4 linked regions of the Saccharomyces cerevisiae S288C genome follow. Changing the gene in region 1 together with any one later gene gives a genetic interaction. Each region holds a gene or a part of one and is shown in the gene's direction. Other genes may lie near its edges. The genes, in order: KGD4, DIT2, BUD6 and SST2.

Region 1 (3,281 bases):
CTGGCAGGTTTAGCGATATATCCATAGATAATATTCTTTCTGATAATTCAGATATTCCCTCTGCCAGAAGAGAGGAAAGGCTATCCAGCTCTTCAAGCGATAGGCCTCGCCAATATGAGCGGTTAAGTTCGCGTAGAAAGATGATCAATCCCCTGCCTCCAAGAACATCGAAGACGTCACAAAAGTTAGTGTTGATACCGGAAGACGACAACTTGAACCACTTTCAAACTCTACCAACGAACGCGCTGGATAGGCAAAGACCGAAAGTGGGCTCTATGAAGTCTAATTCCTTCGATCGGCTACCTCGATACTCAAAAGAAAAGTCCATGGCAAGAATCACCGCATATAATGTTGCTGATGGCTTCAATCTCAACCAATTGTATAAGTTTCTGCAGGAAACTCATGAGGTTTCACCAAGATTGTATGATGAGTGTCTATACGTTGCGTATACTTTGCCACTTCTACCAGGTAAAGGCGGTTTTAGAATCAAATCAAATTTATCTAAGAAAACAATGGGTGGAAAGACATTAATTGATAATTTAATTGATACAAGCGAACAGAGAGATCATCATTATGAATATTACTCAGGTGTGGAAACTGTGGAAGATGCAAATAATAATTACGAACTAGAAACCAGTGGAAATAACAATAACGCTAATCAAGACACCACAACAGTTCCCGATCATCTACCAAATCCAGTTGGTCAGCAAGACTCTTTTAATCCTATGGAACCACAATTTTTTGCGGAAGAAACTCCCTTAGAGATAGAGAAACGGGAAAGGACAGAAAGAATAAACATGCTGAAGAAGGAGGAAAACGACAGTGATGCAAGTTGTGGCAACGATAATAATAATAAAAATAATGATAAGAGTAAACTTTATGCTGTTGAGGGAAACGATCAGTATGTACAGTCCTCTCGTTCACCAGCTTCGCCATCATCAATATCTACGCCATCGCCACCATCTTCATCACAGAATGATTTTGATCGTGTATATAAAATGCATAGGGACAACGACCATGAAGGCAATGATAGACATGCAGAAATTTTCATTTTTCACTATGGCGTTATTGTTTTTTGGAACTTTACTGAAATTCAAGAGAAAAATATTCTTGGTGATATAACATTTGCAGATTATAAGAATTTAATGATCCGGCCGCTGGATGAACAAGATATTGAAACTGAACAATTCCATTTCGAATATGACAGAGATACCGAGAGACCGAGAATTTTCAATGATATTGTCACATTACGTTCAGGTGACCACATTATCGAGCTGACACTATCACATGCGATTGCGCAATCTTCGAAATTATCAAGGTTTGAATCCAGAATTTCGCCGATTTTAATATCAGTCACAAAACTACCTAAAAGACTAGCATTATATGGTACCCTTGGGTTAAAAAGGGAACAGCTTTTGAAAAAATCAGGGAAGCTCTTTAAATTGAGAGTGGATGTTAACCTTTCATCCACCATATTGGATACACCCGAGTTTTTTTGGTCGTTCGAACCAAGTTTGCATCCACTGTACGTGGCAATGAGGGAGTATTTAGAAATTGACCAAAGAGTACAAGTATTAAATGATCGTTGCAAAGTTTTCTTGGAATTCTTTGATATATGCGTTGACTCTGTTGCTGAAAGAAACATGGCTCGTGTTACATGGTGGTTTATTCTTGTCATTTTATTTGGAGTTATATTTTCATTAACAGAGATTTTCGTTCGTTATGTAATTATTCATCGTCATACTTCTACATAGATATTCATACACCCTTCTAGACGGCATTAAAAATAAATTAATGATATATTTAGTTATCAAGGTTTTTAGTCATATATTTCACCGTTATTACCATTCTTGGTCACGTGCAAGTAAAACCACTCGTTGATTGGCTCCCCTCAAGATTGCATTAAAAGTACAATAATATGACTAAGGGACTCGAATATGTAAATTCATCTTTCGCATCAACAAAGGAGAAAAAGACGATAGTGAAGACTAATATTTTAGCCAGATTGCAGTGTTTCAGTGATCTTAAAAGTCTTTTTCATTTCTAGCCGCATTGAATTCTTTAAAGCAAACCATTAAGGAGTACTTCCCCAGGTTTTTAACCGATAATAAGAGTAAGATAAAAGTACAAGAAGACAGGGAAATGATTGCTACACCTATAAGATTAGCAAAGAGTGCATATGAGCCGATGATAAAATTCGTCGGTACAAGGCATCCCTTAGTGAAGCATGCAACTGAGGTCGTTGTTCATCCTTGCGCTACCAACGGAATGTTACCTGGCAGCAAAGAGTGTATTCCAGTGAGTAAATTCATGGAAAATTATAAACCATTCCGTGTAGTGCCAATAAAGCATAGCGCTAATGCTGGTCTCAGCTCGTCAAAGACCTCTGTATTCGTTAACAGGCCATTGCAAAAAGATGAGCTTGCTTCCATTTTCGAGCTACCTGCTAGGTTTCGGTACAAACCTATTAACGAGCATGAATTGGAGAGCATAAATAGCGGTGGTGCATGGTGAAGGATAGATGCAGTAATATTATGATTTTTTTTTGTTATTTTATAGTTTCTTTACACATATCATTATATCTATGTAAAAACGTAGTTACTTAGGAAGAGAGAAGAGTGATGATATTATGAATTGAAAAATAAAAATAAAATGAGTATTTAATGAAGGTGGGATAAAACTCTTCTAAATTTTTTGAGTACCGTAGCCTTTAATATCCTTGGCGAAGTCCCATTTCATGTTTTCAACTTGCAAGTTTTTCTTGAAAGTTAAACCTGTGTTCTTATCAATTATGGCCAGTGAGAAGTTTCTAGAAGAACGGGCATCTCTATAATAAAGAACTCTCATTGCATTTACGATCGCCTCTTCAGCAACCTGTACAGTGGTCTTTGGAATATCAGATTCTCGATCTACAACTTTCCTTAACAGTGGGTTTGCCATGTGTGCCCCAAAACCTGTGGCCAAGGTGGGAGACGAATACGTAACACCTAGAAGATTTACGTATCTTAGGAATTGATCACCATTAGACTGTACACCAGCAACAATGATGGCATTCCAAAGTGGATTCATCTTTGATCTTCGCTGGTACATGACGGTAGCTAGATATTCAAAAATATAGCTGGGTTCGAGCGCTTCTTCAGCATCCGCTAGAGGATTGTCATACGCATTTTCAGTGACTAGATCTTTCAATAATCTCTCAATGTGTTGCATATCAGAAATATCACCTGAAATGCCCACAACGGTGTTATCACCCACGGGAATAAGCCTCTCCACGCCATTGA
Region 2 (4,432 bases), on another chromosome or scaffold:
CACTAAGTTCGAATACGCGTCATTTCTCTTAATCATGTTAAAAGCGATCATTGAAATGATTTTCTTGAATTTTTTTCTGGAATAACTTTGGAAATGTTCCAGTAGAGATAAATCTTCCATCATAAAACGTGAAAAGCCCCTATACAGATGCAATCTTGGATGTCCTTCTATTGCAATCTGCTTTCTCAAACGACCTGCATCTGTATCACAGCCTTTCATCAAAATCTGTCTCGACAAATCGGACTTAGGACAGATTTGAGTTCCTGTGTAGTGTGCAACTTCAACATCACTAACCCACTTTGGATCGAAAACTTTACTAGCTGCACCGCTAAAAAATAAATCGTTCAATCCACAAAAGCCAATGGCGTCAACACCAGGTATAGCCACTCTTTTATACAGTTCGTGCAATTTGGTCGTGTAAGTACTCACGACGTCATCATCGACCCCAATACAATCGGAGAAAACATGGCCATCACTAACTATCCAAATTTTCATACCCGGTGGATATATCTTGACAAGGTCTTGTGTGGCTTTTATTAATCTTTTCAAAGCGAGTTCTTCGCCTTTGTCAGGAACGGAACCGTACACTTTTTGCTCATTAGATGACTTACATGGAAACGCTGGCAAGATGCATTCAATTCTCAAATATCGATCGGTAAAATATCTTGAACGTTCAATAAAATAATCACGGCCACCAAAATTCCATTGATCATTAACTATTGTGTTTTTCAAATTTTTCTCAAAAAAATCTGCAAATAATTCGTGATACTTAACTTCTTTGGTTACAATTGGATGTTCACTTAGAGATAATTGAGATTGGTCTAAAATATGATATACGAACCAGTTATTGAAAGAATTTTCATTCTCAACTGTTGTAACACACCCACGAATCTGGCGTTCGTCATCGCGTGTATATTCAGAAATCTTTATTGCCACTCCTAAATTATTGGTAAATTTATTTGCTAAAGAAGCTGGCAAAATTCTTTCAGAAACCCGTCCACTTACTTCGGATTCAGAAAAGTCCAGATTGTGAATAGTGTTGATAAAGTCGAGCCATTGGTCTCCAAATTTACAATTCTGTTTTTCCTCTAAAGAGTAAAAATCGTCACATTTGTCGCTTCTGCAATACAGGGCCAGAAATTTACTATATGTAGACAAATCGGCCCCATTATGGGGAATATCAATATCTTTCAACGTATCAGTCGATGAAGAAAATGAAGAGGCAGGTGGTGATATTGACTGCTCGGAGCTTGAGGGCAAGTTGCTAGTAAATGTCATTTTTGTTAATGTCTCGACAAAGCTTTACCGAATTAGGATATTAACAAATTGTTTATTTAGTCAAGACTTTGCGGAGGAGCACAATTTATGTGAAAATTTATTTCAATATTTATACATCATTTTTGATTCTGAACCTATTTTCAGAAATTGTTTTACAACATCGTAGGGCAGGCACTATGCCCTTGCAAATTTTATGATATACTGTCCACTGAAAGCAATGCAATCAAAATTCAAATAAACTCCTGAGGGGCCAATAATATAAGGATTTTTAGCACGCGACGTCTGGGATTGAGTGCCATGTATGTAAAGACGAGCAATTACTTTATGTTCCCTTATTTGTGAGGGGTTCCTGGTTTGCTTTTTTCGATCAATTCTCCTGATATTATTGAGTAAATTAGACAAATTGTTAGGAAACAACAAATTCCGATGCTTACTTACCCCTTAAATTTTCTCATTGCTCTTCATTGAGGTTGCATACCTCACCATATTTGTCATAGAAGGTCCCTTAAGGCGCCTTTTTATTTTTTCTTGGCAAGAGAACCCTTTTATTTATGGCCAGACGCGCGTCGCAAAAAAAGGTAAACATCAATAATTTTCCTTCCAGGGACTCTCAATAAAAAGACTGTAACTTGTATTATCAAATTGAGAAGCAATTACGTATTCCACCCCTCATTACTTCCCCGATACAATTTATTTTCACTTCTTTCGATGAATGCAGTGATTTCTATCTTTCCCGAAAATTACAAGCCACGGACCACAAGAGGAATGACTGGTCATCCTGATGCGAATAGTATATTAGGTAGTGCAAAAAAATACATTAATTTTCTTGAAATATTTTCGTTTTTTCAAAATGGTATTTGATTCAGACTAAGAGAATAAATCGAAAAAAGCATTAAAAATGGAGTTGTTAAAGCTTCTGTGTTTGATTTTATTTCTTACTCTTTCCTATGTCGCCTTTGCAATCATTGTCCCACCTCTAAACTTTCCCAAAAATATACCCACCATCCCATTTTATGTAGTATTTTTACCAGTAATATTTCCCATTGATCAAACGGAGCTATACGATCTTTATATTAGGGAATCAATGGAAAAATACGGTGCTGTAAAATTTTTCTTTGGTTCACGGTGGAATATTCTCGTTTCTCGTTCTGAGTATCTAGCACAAATATTCAAAGATGAAGATACTTTTGCGAAGAGCGGTAATCAAAAGAAAATCCCATACAGTGCTCTTGCCGCTTACACAGGGGACAATGTCATTAGCGCGTATGGTGCAGTTTGGAGAAACTACAGAAATGCTGTGACAAACGGGCTCCAACATTTTGACGATGCACCTATATTCAAAAATGCAAAAATTTTATGCACTTTGATAAAAAACAGACTCCTAGAAGGACAAACTTCGATCCCTATGGGACCTTTATCCCAGAGAATGGCATTGGATAACATTTCACAGGTTGCCCTTGGATTTGATTTTGGTGCTCTAACACATGAAAAAAATGCTTTCCACGAGCATTTGATTCGTATTAAAAAGCAAATATTTCATCCATTCTTTTTAACTTTTCCATTCCTTGATGTTCTTCCTATTCCTTCAAGAAAAAAAGCCTTCAAGGATGTTGTTAGTTTTAGAGAACTTCTCGTTAAAAGAGTTCAAGATGAATTAGTCAATAATTACAAATTTGAACAAACTACTTTTGCTGCCAGTGATCTAATTCGTGCTCACAATAACGAAATAATCGACTACAAACAGTTGACCGATAATATCGTCATTATCCTTGTCGCTGGCCATGAAAACCCGCAGTTGCTATTTAATAGTTCACTCTACCTTCTAGCCAAATATTCAAATGAATGGCAAGAGAAACTCAGGAAGGAAGTAAACGGCATCACTGATCCAAAAGGCTTAGCAGATTTACCCTTATTAAATGCTTTTCTCTTCGAAGTAGTAAGAATGTATCCTCCTTTGAGCACAATTATTAATAGATGTACTACCAAAACGTGCAAGTTGGGGGCGGAAATTGTTATACCCAAGGGCGTATATGTCGGGTACAACAACTTTGGAACCTCACACGATCCCAAAACTTGGGGCACAACAGCAGATGATTTTAAACCAGAAAGATGGGGTTCAGATATCGAAACCATAAGGAAAAACTGGAGAATGGCGAAAAACAGATGTGCTGTGACTGGGTTCCATGGAGGCCGAAGAGCATGCCTAGGGGAAAAACTAGCCCTAACAGAAATGAGAATTTCTTTGGCTGAAATGTTGAAACAGTTTCGATGGAGTCTTGACCCTGAATGGGAAGAAAAATTAACTCCCGCTGGGCCTCTTTGCCCTCTTAATTTAAAGTTAAAATTTAACGAGAATATAATGGAATAAATATAAAACATGTAGAATTGTATATATACGCATATATGTATACAATCGCGACAACTTTTAGTGAAACTTCTTTGTATCCAGTGAAAATGAAAGGAACAGAACCTGACCAAAGGTCAGTAGAAAAAAAAAAAGCCTTTTATAGAAGTTCTTATCCAATCGTTGACATTTTGTCTGCTCTATTTAATGCTTCAAAAATCTGATCCCAAAAGTACTGGATATTCAAATCGAGACCAATTATTGTACCAACATCACTGTCATTTGGATATTCTTTTTCAATGATAATTTTCCCTGAGTTTTCGTTGAAAACATCATCAATGCAGGATATGTCCATTCTCTTGTAGCGAAATCCAACCGCAGACGATGGATCCCACCCATAAAATTCCAAAAGCGGCATCAAAGCTACCGGATCATGTATAGGTGGGCCCGATTCAAATCCTTGCATATCCTTGTAGGTATGAGCAAAAAATTGAAAAAGCTCCAAAAACAATTCTCGTAACTTGCTGTTATTCTTTTCGTTGTATATCATTTCGTTAACCTTGTAAGTAGCTATGGCCTTGTGAGTTAAATTTAGAGGAACTACTATACATTTGTCCTTTACATCGGGATCACGGAATATGTAATTCGCTGCGTCAGGATCAATCCAAACGTTGAATTCAGCAGAAAGATTTGGGTTACAGTTTCCTAGACCATGGAGTCCACCCCCCATAATGCTAATATATTTGACAGATTTTTTTAGGTATGGTTTACACCTAAAAACTGTTGCTAATGTGGTAAGTGCACCAGTAG
Region 3 (5,130 bases), on another chromosome or scaffold:
TTGAGTCAAGTACGACCATTATTGGTCCAAGCTCTTGATTGGAGTCTTCTTCCTCAAATTCCATGTCATGATTAATGCTGTCCCTATTACGTACATTTGGCTTTGTGAAAGCGTATCGGTTCGTGGGAACCTCTACAACAGTATTGAAAACTGGTTTTCGTCTCGATTCAAGATCAGCGGAGAAACTTGAGTATATAGGTGCTTTCTTCTTCCTTCTTTTTTTCTGTGGCTTGAGAGAAGAGCTGTCATCCTGTTCTAGGGATTGAGATTCTAATTCTTCAAAAAAATAATCATCAATTACATGATTCTTCTTAGAAACAAATGAAACTGGATTATTAGCTGCCAAATGAGATTTATGCGCTGACCGTTTTCCGACTTTGATAGCTTTTGTACTTGGGGCCAGACAAGAATTTCGATATTTGTACTTATATCTTCTCACTCTCTTACTTTTTGTATTCAAAAAGTTGGCATCATTGGTTGCTTTAATTCTTTTAGGTTTAACCAACATCTTGTCAATTATACCATCGTTATGCTCTTCAGCAGCATCTAGGGAAATTACACTTTGATTATCTTCGGCAGATATATTGTATTGCTCACTAAATCCGCTATCTGAATGCCGTGAATTCAAATAAATAATAGGCTGGTCTTTATAAGACACATGTGATATGCAGCTCCCCGGTCCGTCATATTCCAGCTCATACACTGGTTCATTGCGGTATTCCTCATTTAAATTAAAACCAGAAGTTCCAGCCGATTGTGCGTCTTCACTATACTTGCTCTCATAATATTCTTGCAATTCCTTTAATTCCTTTTCGTTAGCCTCACGATCCTCTGGAAGATTTCCTAAGTATATATCTGGAGGGGCGTTTTCCTCGATATCCAGTTCGTCATCAGGTGCAATAAGATCGTTCAATAAGTTCTGTTCTTCATCTTCAATATGGGCGCTTCTGTTCATTTTCCTCTTAGCCACACCCTTATGGTTCAATAATTGAGTTTTTCTTTTCGTGACTTTTGAAGACTGCTGCTTTTGCAACGACTTTTCCCAAGCAACTCTTGGCAGGACCCCACGGTAACCAGTTCTTACATTCAATACTCTTCCTCTAAATATTACTTCGTCATTTTGAGTATTCTGTAAATTTGTACTAGCCAAGTCTTGTTCATCTTCCGTAGAATCACCTGATTGAAATACTATATCCTGGTCGAGGTCTTTAAAAGTACGATGCCTTTTCTTTGGTATTTCTTCATCACTATCATATCTTTGAGATTGAACCGAGCTGTTTTCGGGTTTAATGGAGTCGATTGTAACATCTTTCTGCTCATCTAAGGGTTTACCAGTTCTCTTTGTAAGTAAAATATCATTTGAGTGAATCACTGTAGAAGCGTTCTTCGGTAAGGTCAACTGATTCGAAATGCTGTCAAAACTAGAGATATCATAGCCCTCTAGCAACTGCCTATGCTTTATGCGTTCTAAACTGTATGGCATCTTTTGAATAGCCTTCCTCTTCCTCAAAGACCACCGAAGCCCCGTAGTAACTTGTGTATCAGTTACTACGGAAGGAGTACAAGATTCTCCAGCAGTGGAATCCAGGCTCAACCTCTCAGTGACAATTTTCTGTGATCTGCTTGCTTCTTGGACGTTTTCCTCTGCCCATAAATAATTTTCATTGAATTCGGGTTCGTATATGATACTAATTTCCTCATCAGTGGCCTCAGAATCTGATATCACAATAGGATTCGGTTCATCAACATCCATAAGCTTATCTGCTGACGCTACCACTAAACTTCAAATCTACAATCCTATCTTTTATTCTTTCACTTCTTGAATTTAATTTTACACGCAGATGCGCTTTACTCTTTGAAGATATCTCGCTAGCCGAGCTGAACGAATTTTATCCTACTATTATGCATTCTTGAGATAATGGCATCAAAACAAACCCAAGAAAAGGGAAAAAGAGTAGAAGCTGGCTGCCAAATTGGTGTAGTAATCCTCGTATTATTTTAAAATTAGATGAAGATGGCCGTGGATGACCCTACGTATGGCACCCCAAAGATTAAAAGAACTGCTTCTAGCAGTAGTAGTATTGAAACGACAGTAACAAAGTTGCTGATGTCCACCAAGCACCTCCTCCAGGTCTTAACACAATGGTCTAAGGGGACAACCTCTGGAAGATTAGTATCTGATGCATACGTTCAGTTGGGCAATGACTTCAAAGTCGTATCGAAATTCTTCATGCATGCGAAAGTTGACATGTCAGATGTTGGTGATGTGCCAATGGCTTTAAGACGTGTATTGGAAGTGACATTGAGGGAACCACCATCTGATGAAACTTTAAATAAACATCTGCCAAAAATCAGAGAGATTATAGTGACACTTTTAGACAAACTAAAGGTTAAACAAGCAATTTTGAAGAATATGCAGCAAGAGCATCGGATAAGTGTAAAATCACATCATCAACAAAACCCTTCCTTTACTAGTAACCTTTCATTGGGTAGTGAAGGGACCCGTGAGGGGACTCCATTAAGTAGCAGAAAAAGCAGTATTGTACGTGATCAGAGGCAAAGCGATTCAGTCGAAAACAGCTATGGGGAAAAAGTGAATTCTACTTCTACGGGAACACCCTCTGCTCAGTCAGCAGAGGCAACATTGACAAAACCAAGAACTAATATTAAACAAAACCTTAAATCTAACAATGCTCCAAACGCATCTGATGATGATGATGCACTTTCACAATTGAAGAAGGGAACTAATTTACAAAGGAGAGCCTCAAAGAGATACTCTGCCTACCATATGGCTAAATTGACAAATCAGTCTACAACAGAAGCTGCTGCGGCTGCCGGCCTCATGACAACTCCTTCACCCTCGATGTTGCATCTAGAGGAAACCGTAAGAAAGTCAAAGTTATACGGAAATAACAACAATGATGATGATAGAAACATTAATTCAGCTGAAAATAAGGGTAAAAGCATTGACGATGTATCAAAGGCGAGTCCATTGGCGAAAACGCCATTGCCTATTGAGAATGTTCGTGCATCTCCACGAAGATTATCAAGCGTTGTTACAACTTCGCCAGATAAAGCCATGAATGGAACTTGTCCAGTATTTTTAAGGATAGGAGACAAAACAAAGAAGTGTCATGTGCAACTGCCTACTACAAAAAACGCATTAAGGCTCCTATTTATTGAGCGCTTTGCGTATTCTCCTGGAGCAAATTCCTTCCCAGACATATATATTATGGATCCTCAATATGGAGTATTCTATGAATTAGAGGAACTAAATCTTCTCGATATTAAAGAAGGGTTTGTTATCGAGCTAAAGCTCGAAGAGAATCCAAATAATACGATCAAGGAATTCATTGACACAGTTAAGATGGAGATATCGAATAGTCAGAATGATATAATAAGACATTTAAAAGAAATGAGTTTTGGTTCTGCAATTAGCGGCAAGCAAACGGAAGTTTTACCACAACCTGGCCTTGAAGCTAACAAACACGATCTTGTGGGGCAAAACAAAAAAGATGATGATAAAACGATCAAAGATATTCAGTACGAATTGGGGAAAATAAAACAAGTGCATAATATTAATAGGTCAAATATTAATGAGACTATTTTCAACATTTTACGAAAGGTCGATAACTTTAAGTCTTTATCATTTTCTGCCAAAAACTCTTCCAACAGAATGTACATGGAAAAATCACAGACCGAACTCGGTGATTTATCCGATACTCTGCTAAGTAAAGTAGATGATTTGCAAGATGTAATCGAAATTATGAGGAAAGACGTTGCTGAGCGTAGGTCTCAGCCCGCTAAAAAGAAGCTAGAAACCGTATCCAAGGATTTAGAAAATGCCCAAGCAGATGTACTTAAACTACAGGAGTTTATTGATACTGAAAAACCACATTGGAAAAAAACTTGGGAAGCTGAGCTCGATAAGGTCTGTGAAGAACAACAGTTTCTCACGTTGCAGGAAGAGTTGATTTTAGATTTGAAGGAAGACTTGGGTAAGGCATTAGAAACTTTCGATCTTATTAAGTTATGTTGTGAAGAACAAGAAAAAAACCCTTCGAGATCAAAAAGTAATCCTATTTTGCCTATTATGAGACCGGGCACATTTAATCAGGTAAGGGAGCAAGTTATGGTGGCCGTCCAATCTTTAAACCCTGACCACGATAGTAGGGTCGAAGCTATTGACAAGGCTGAGAAGATGTGGGAGATGGAAAGAAAACTTAAAGCTAGTAATGAATTTGATGATGAACTGGAAAATTTTGTGGGTAATTCAAACCTGAAAAAATCGGGAGGCTTTGAAGAAGTAGAAAGGATAAGAAAGCAGAAGGATGAAGCAAATTTGAGAGCATATTTTGGGCCGGGGTTTACTTAAATACACTAATTTTATGAAAGCTAACGGAAAAGAGATTAGTGCTTTTGGCTTATTACAAAGTTTGCGGCAATATTTTCCTTATCAGCATCATAAGCTGTCAGTATTTCATGTATTATTAGTACTAATTAACTATATGTATATATATATATATATATGCTTGCAAGTGTTGAATTTCCTTTCTCAAAAGAATGATATTATCTTTAAATTTTGATGTGTTTGAAGATAGGCTTTCCAAAAATCCATTCAATATGGTGAATCGTACCTCATACTCGATTAAAGGATCACATTTCGTAATTGGACAACCGCTGACTGTCATTTCAATGATGCGTTGTAAGAACGAATGAAATTGCATATTTTGCGTAACATTAATTGATAGATCCTTAAAAGCAGATTTATAACATTCCGAAATGTTCTTTACAACATGATCAATTTGCATGAGAACGGTGTTTGTTGAATTTAAATTTGTGTCAATTGTTTTATAAGAGATTCTAGTGTTAAACAGCGCTATTAAACTTCGAAATATCCCTTTACTAGATTTCGAACGGATATGGAAATTATTCATTGTGCTTGAATGTTTCCAAACTTCCAATTCTTTAACAAATATGTGCATTGCACAAAATTGAATAACCGTATCATCATCTGATTGGGAGCTTACGGCTAAAATTTTGTCTCTATTGGCTTTCGCATTATATTTTTGAAATCCGCCCATGGCAAGCTTTTTGATATTGATCACTTGCTGTTGGTCTGTTGATATT
Region 4 (4,853 bases), on another chromosome or scaffold:
TAGTTTTCTAATTTTGCAGCTGTTTTCAATGAAGAAAACATTGCGCTTACAGATATGTACAGAAGGGATCTTCTTAACCATCAATTTCAATAAGTTAGAACAATATATGTACGAATATAGATATAAATACGAACGTGGTTAGTATATAGAGACAATGGAGCATGTAGATTCCGATTTTGCACCTATAAGGAGATCGAAAAAGGTTGTTGACAGTGACAAGATTGTGAAAGCAATAAGCGATGATTTGGAGCAAAAAAATTTTACTGTACTGAGAAAGTTGAACCTTGTTCCAATTAAAAAAAGTGTTAGCAGCCCAAAGGTGTGTAAGCCGAGTCCAGTTAAGGAGCGAGTGGACCATGTTTTCTACCAGAAGTTCAAATCAATGGCCTTGCAAGAGCTAGGCACCAATTATTTGTCAATAAGCTACGTTCCGAGCTTAAGTAAGTTTCTTTCAAAAAATCTTAGGAGTATGAAAAATTGTATCGTTTTCTTCGACAAAGTTGAACATATACACCAATATGCTGGTATCGACCGTGCAGTTTCAGAAACACTGTCTTTAGTCGATATAAATGTCGTAATTATAGAAATGAATGACTACTTAATGAAAGAGGGTATTCAATCAAGCAAATCAAAAGAATGTATCGAGTCAATGGGGCAGGCTTCATATAGCGGACAACTAGATTTCGAAGCTAGTGAAAAACCTTCAAATCACACGTCTGACCTAATGATGATGGTTATGAGGAAAATAAATAATGACGAAAGTATCGATCATATTGTCTACTTCAAATTCGAACAATTAGATAAATTATCTACTTCAACTATAATAGAACCTTCGAAGCTTACCGAATTTATCAATGTTTTATCGGTACTTGAAAAAAGTAATAACATTGCATTTAAGGTCCTCATTTATTCAAATAACGTTAGCATTTCGTCTCTCCTATCGACATCCCTCAAAAAGAAACTCAACACAAAATATACTGTGTTTGAGATGCCGATATTAACATGCGCTCAAGAACAAGAATATTTGAAAAAAATGATAAAGTTTACCTTTGATTCCGGAAGCAAGTTATTACAGTCTTACAACTCGCTTGTCACATGCCAGTTGAATAATAAAGAATCCAACTTAGCAATCTTTTTCGAATTTTTGAAGGTCTTTCCGCACCCTTTTACCTATTTGTTTAACGCTTACACTGAGATTATAGTCCAGAGTAGAACTTTTGATGAATTGTTGGATAAGATCAGAAACAGACTGACAATAAAAAATTACCCACATAGTGCTTATAACTTTAAGAAAAACCAGCGTCTTCCACTTAAGTTAACTCGAAAAGTACATGATAGATAAATTACCAAGGTCTTTTGAAAGAGTTCGAACAATACAAAGAGATGGCAACTCCTTTGGAAAAGTTCAAGTTGAACCACCTCCGTTGTCTCTATTAATGAAGAAGCCATGAAGTATGCGAAGTTTTAACTGAATCATCTTCAATAATTATGGGATGTCTGGGTTTTAAACGTTTCATAATATTCAATTTTGAAACAATGATCCCAATACTGCTTTTTTTTTGACTAGGACTTGGATTTGGTTGCTGGTGCGTTAGAATTGTTGTCTGTCCTGTTATATTTATACCGGTGAATGAAATCATAATCCCAGCTCTGTCTTTACTTCTCATCGTCCTTTAACTTTGGAGGTGTTACTGTCGTACGTTCCTTCTAGGTTTTGCACGCACTATCTGAGGCGTTATAGGTTCAATTTGGTAATTAAAGATAGAGTTGTAAGATGGTGGATAAAAATAGGACGTTGCATGAATTATCTTCCAAAAATTTCAGCAGAACGCCGAATGGACTGATCTTTACCAATGATTTAAAGACAGTATATTCCATTTTTCTAATTTGTTTGGATTTGAAAGAGAAAAAACATAGTAGTGACACTAAGTCTTTCTTATTAACTGCATTCACTAAACATTTCCACTTCACTTTTACATATCAGGAAGCTATTAAAGCAATGGGACAATTGGAACTAAAAGTGGATATGAACACAACTTGTATTAACGTTTCATATAATATTAAACCTAGTTTGGCGCGCCACCTTCTTACATTATTTATGTCTTCTAAGCTACTACATACACCGCAGGACAGAACTCGTGGCGAGCCAAAAGAGAAAGTTCTTTTCCAACCAACACCTAAGGGAGTTGCTGTTTTACAAAAGTATGTTAGAGATATTGGGTTGAAAACAATGCCTGATATTCTTTTGTCATCGTTTAACTCCATGAAACTTTTCACTTTTGAGAGAAGCTCTGTCACGGATTCAATCATCCATAGTGATTATTTGATCCATATTCTTTTCATTAAAATGATGGGCGCTAAGCCAAATGTTTGGTCTCCAACAAACGCAGATGACCCATTACCTTGCCTATCTTCGTTGTTGGAATACACTAATAATGATGATACATTTACTTTTGAGAAATCTAAGCCAGAACAAGGATGGCAAGCTCAGATTGGAAACATCGATATAAATGACTTAGAAAGGGTATCGCCATTAGCTCATCGATTCTTTACAAATCCAGATTCTGAGTCGCACACGCAATACTACGTTTCGAATGCAGGTATTAGGTTGTTTGAAAATAAGACGTTTGGCACTTCCAAAAAAATCGTGATTAAGTACACCTTTACAACAAAGGCTATATGGCAGTGGATAATGGACTGTACTGATATTATGCATGTTAAAGAAGCGGTCTCGTTGGCAGCGTTATTTTTAAAAACGGGGTTGATTGTACCAGTTCTTTTACAACCATCACGCACTGACAAGAAAAAGTTTCAAATTAGCAGGTCCTCTTTTTTTACCTTGTCCAAGCGTGGTTGGGATTTGGTTTCTTGGACAGGTTGTAAGAGCAATAATATTAGAGCACCAAATGGTAGCACCATAGACCTAGATTTCACATTAAGGGGTCATATGACTGTTCGTGATGAAAAAAAGACATTGGATGATAGTGAAGGTTTTTCTCAAGACATGCTTATCTCTTCGAGTAATTTAAATAAACTGGACTATGTGCTAACTGATCCAGGTATGAGATATTTATTCAGGCGCCATTTAGAAAAGGAACTTTGTGTAGAAAATTTGGATGTCTTCATTGAGATTAAGAGGTTTTTGAAGAAAATGACAATTCTGAAAAAATTGATAGATTCTAAGCATTGTGATAAAAAATCTAATACCAGTACTTCAAAAAACAATATCGTAAAAACGATTGATTCAGCTTTAATGAAACAGGCCAATGAGTGCCTTGAAATGGCATATCACATTTATTCGTCCTATATCATGATAGGATCACCATATCAATTAAATATCCATCATAACTTGCGTCAGAATATTTCTGACATCATGTTGCACCCTCATTCTCCATTATCGGAACACTTTCCTACTAATCTATACGATCCATCACCTGCATCCGCGGAATCAGCAGCTTCATCAATTAGCTCAACGGAGGCTGACACGTTAGGTGAACCACCTGAAGTGAGTCTAAAACCTTCAAAAAATCTTTCAAATGAAAACTGTTCATTTAAGAAGCAAGGATTCAAACATCAGTTAAAGGAATATAAACCTGCCCCGTTAACTCTGGCAGAAACGCATTCGCCTAATGCATCAGTAGAAAATTCACATACAATTGTTCGTTATGGCATGGACAACACCCAAAATGATACCAAATCGGTTGAATCATTTCCAGCAACTTTGAAGGTCCTCAGGAAATTATATCCCCTCTTCGAGATCGTTAGCAATGAAATGTATAGACTGATGAATAACGATTCCTTTCAAAAATTTACCCAGTCAGACGTATACAAAGATGCTAGCGCTTTAATAGAAATCCAAGAAAAGTGCTAATTTCATTGAGAGTCTTACTCATCTTCAGGTACAATTGCACAAACAGTCCTTTTTTTTTTCTTTAGTTCTCCTAACCTAATATGTCTTGATACCCATAAGGACTGTAAATACTATTACGTATAAATTAAGCGGAGGTGTGATTTGTTATATCAACTATAATATGATTAAATAAAGCCATTTATTATCTAGTATAATTTCCAATCCTGAGATGTGACTAACGTGAGCGCTTACGAATCTTCGCATCATACACCTGTGGCCAAGGCTGGTTGGCGGTTTAAGTCCGTCTGAAAACTTTTTTTTACGTCATTTGAAGATCAAAAGTATTGAACATATACCTAATGACACAGTTTTTTACACTTTTTTTGAGTTAAATTATTCAAGGACAAAAAATAGTGTGCGTAAATGGAAGAAATATAAACGTATATAGAAAATCATTTACCTCTCCTGTAGCACCGCAGTCATTACATAACATTTTTTCGAGGGTAAGTAAACATTACGCAAAAAAAGAAAAGGACTTTAAACCTTGGGATTGAACGCAAATTCATTCATTAAAATATCAACATCCCTCCAAACCATATCAGATTCCCAGTTATCCCAACCTGCCATGATGGAATTGGGTGATTCTTTGATTGTAGTTGTAACGGGGTTTGATTGAACAATGGGATACGTTTCTAATAGAGAAGAGTTGGCTTGTGTCGCAGGTAGTGTGTTTTCTTGCATTTGTGTTATTGAAAGAGGCGGTTGATTTGCCGGATGTTCAGCATTCCTCCCTATTGGCAGAGGTTCATTGACAGCTTCAGTGTCCTTGATGTCTGTAGAAACACTGGAATCTAAATTTGCATGATTCAGTTGTTCCCTAGGTGACATTTTATTGAGGATTCCTCTATATGATATAGTGTTCGCTACTTGACTATTTGGGGTCGTTAATGAGCTTCCACTGCTGGTAGAGCCTGCATTTATTGGATTTGGGTCTAGCGGAATT

What was found.
Region 2: mutations in KGD4 (region 1) and DIT2 together harm fitness more than expected from each alone (negative genetic interaction), as found in Saccharomyces cerevisiae (2 studies listed by BioGRID).
Region 3: mutations in KGD4 (region 1) and BUD6 together harm fitness more than expected from each alone (negative genetic interaction), as found in Saccharomyces cerevisiae (2 studies listed by BioGRID).
Region 4: mutations in KGD4 (region 1) and SST2 together harm fitness more than expected from each alone (negative genetic interaction), as found in Saccharomyces cerevisiae (2 studies listed by BioGRID).

The regions. Positions count from the first base shown.
Region 1 is NC_001138.5:246,381-249,661, forward strand, and holds KGD4 (alpha-ketoglutarate dehydrogenase subunit KGD4), read left to right. Parts: upstream 1-2,142; coding exon 2,143-2,514; downstream 2,515-3,281. Other genes in the region: RMD8 (Rmd8p), read left to right, coding at 1-1,754; PRE4 (proteasome core particle subunit beta 7), read right to left, coding at 2,686-3,281. UniProt on the Saccharomyces cerevisiae protein: Molecular adapter that is necessary to a form a stable 2-oxoglutarate dehydrogenase enzyme complex (OGDC).
Region 2 is NC_001136.10:1,271,448-1,275,879, reverse strand, and holds DIT2 (putative cytochrome P450), read left to right. Parts: upstream 1-2,176; coding exon 2,177-3,646; downstream 3,647-4,432. Other genes in the region: DIT1 (Dit1p), read right to left, coding at 1-1,278; URH1 (trifunctional uridine nucleosidase/nicotinamide riboside hydrolase/nicotinic acid riboside hydrolase), read right to left, coding at 3,795-4,432. UniProt on the Saccharomyces cerevisiae protein: Involved in spore wall maturation. Thought to catalyze the oxidation of tyrosine residues in the formation of LL-dityrosine a precursor of the spore wall.
Region 3 is NC_001144.5:768,563-773,692, reverse strand, and holds BUD6 (formin-mediated actin nucleation enhancer), read left to right. Parts: upstream 1-2,008; coding exon 2,009-4,375; downstream 4,376-5,130. Other genes in the region: MMS22 (Mms22p), read right to left, coding at 1-1,753; EST2 (telomerase reverse transcriptase), read right to left, coding at 4,497-5,130.
Region 4 is NC_001144.5:1,038,288-1,043,140, reverse strand, and holds SST2 (GTPase-activating protein SST2), read left to right. Parts: upstream 1-1,774; coding exon 1,775-3,871; downstream 3,872-4,853. Other genes in the region: RIF2 (Rif2p), read left to right, coding at 155-1,342; leucine-responsive transcriptional regulator LEU3, read right to left, coding at 4,388-4,853. UniProt on the Saccharomyces cerevisiae protein: Desensitization to alpha-factor pheromone. Is involved in regulating the signaling pathway for responding to mating pheromone.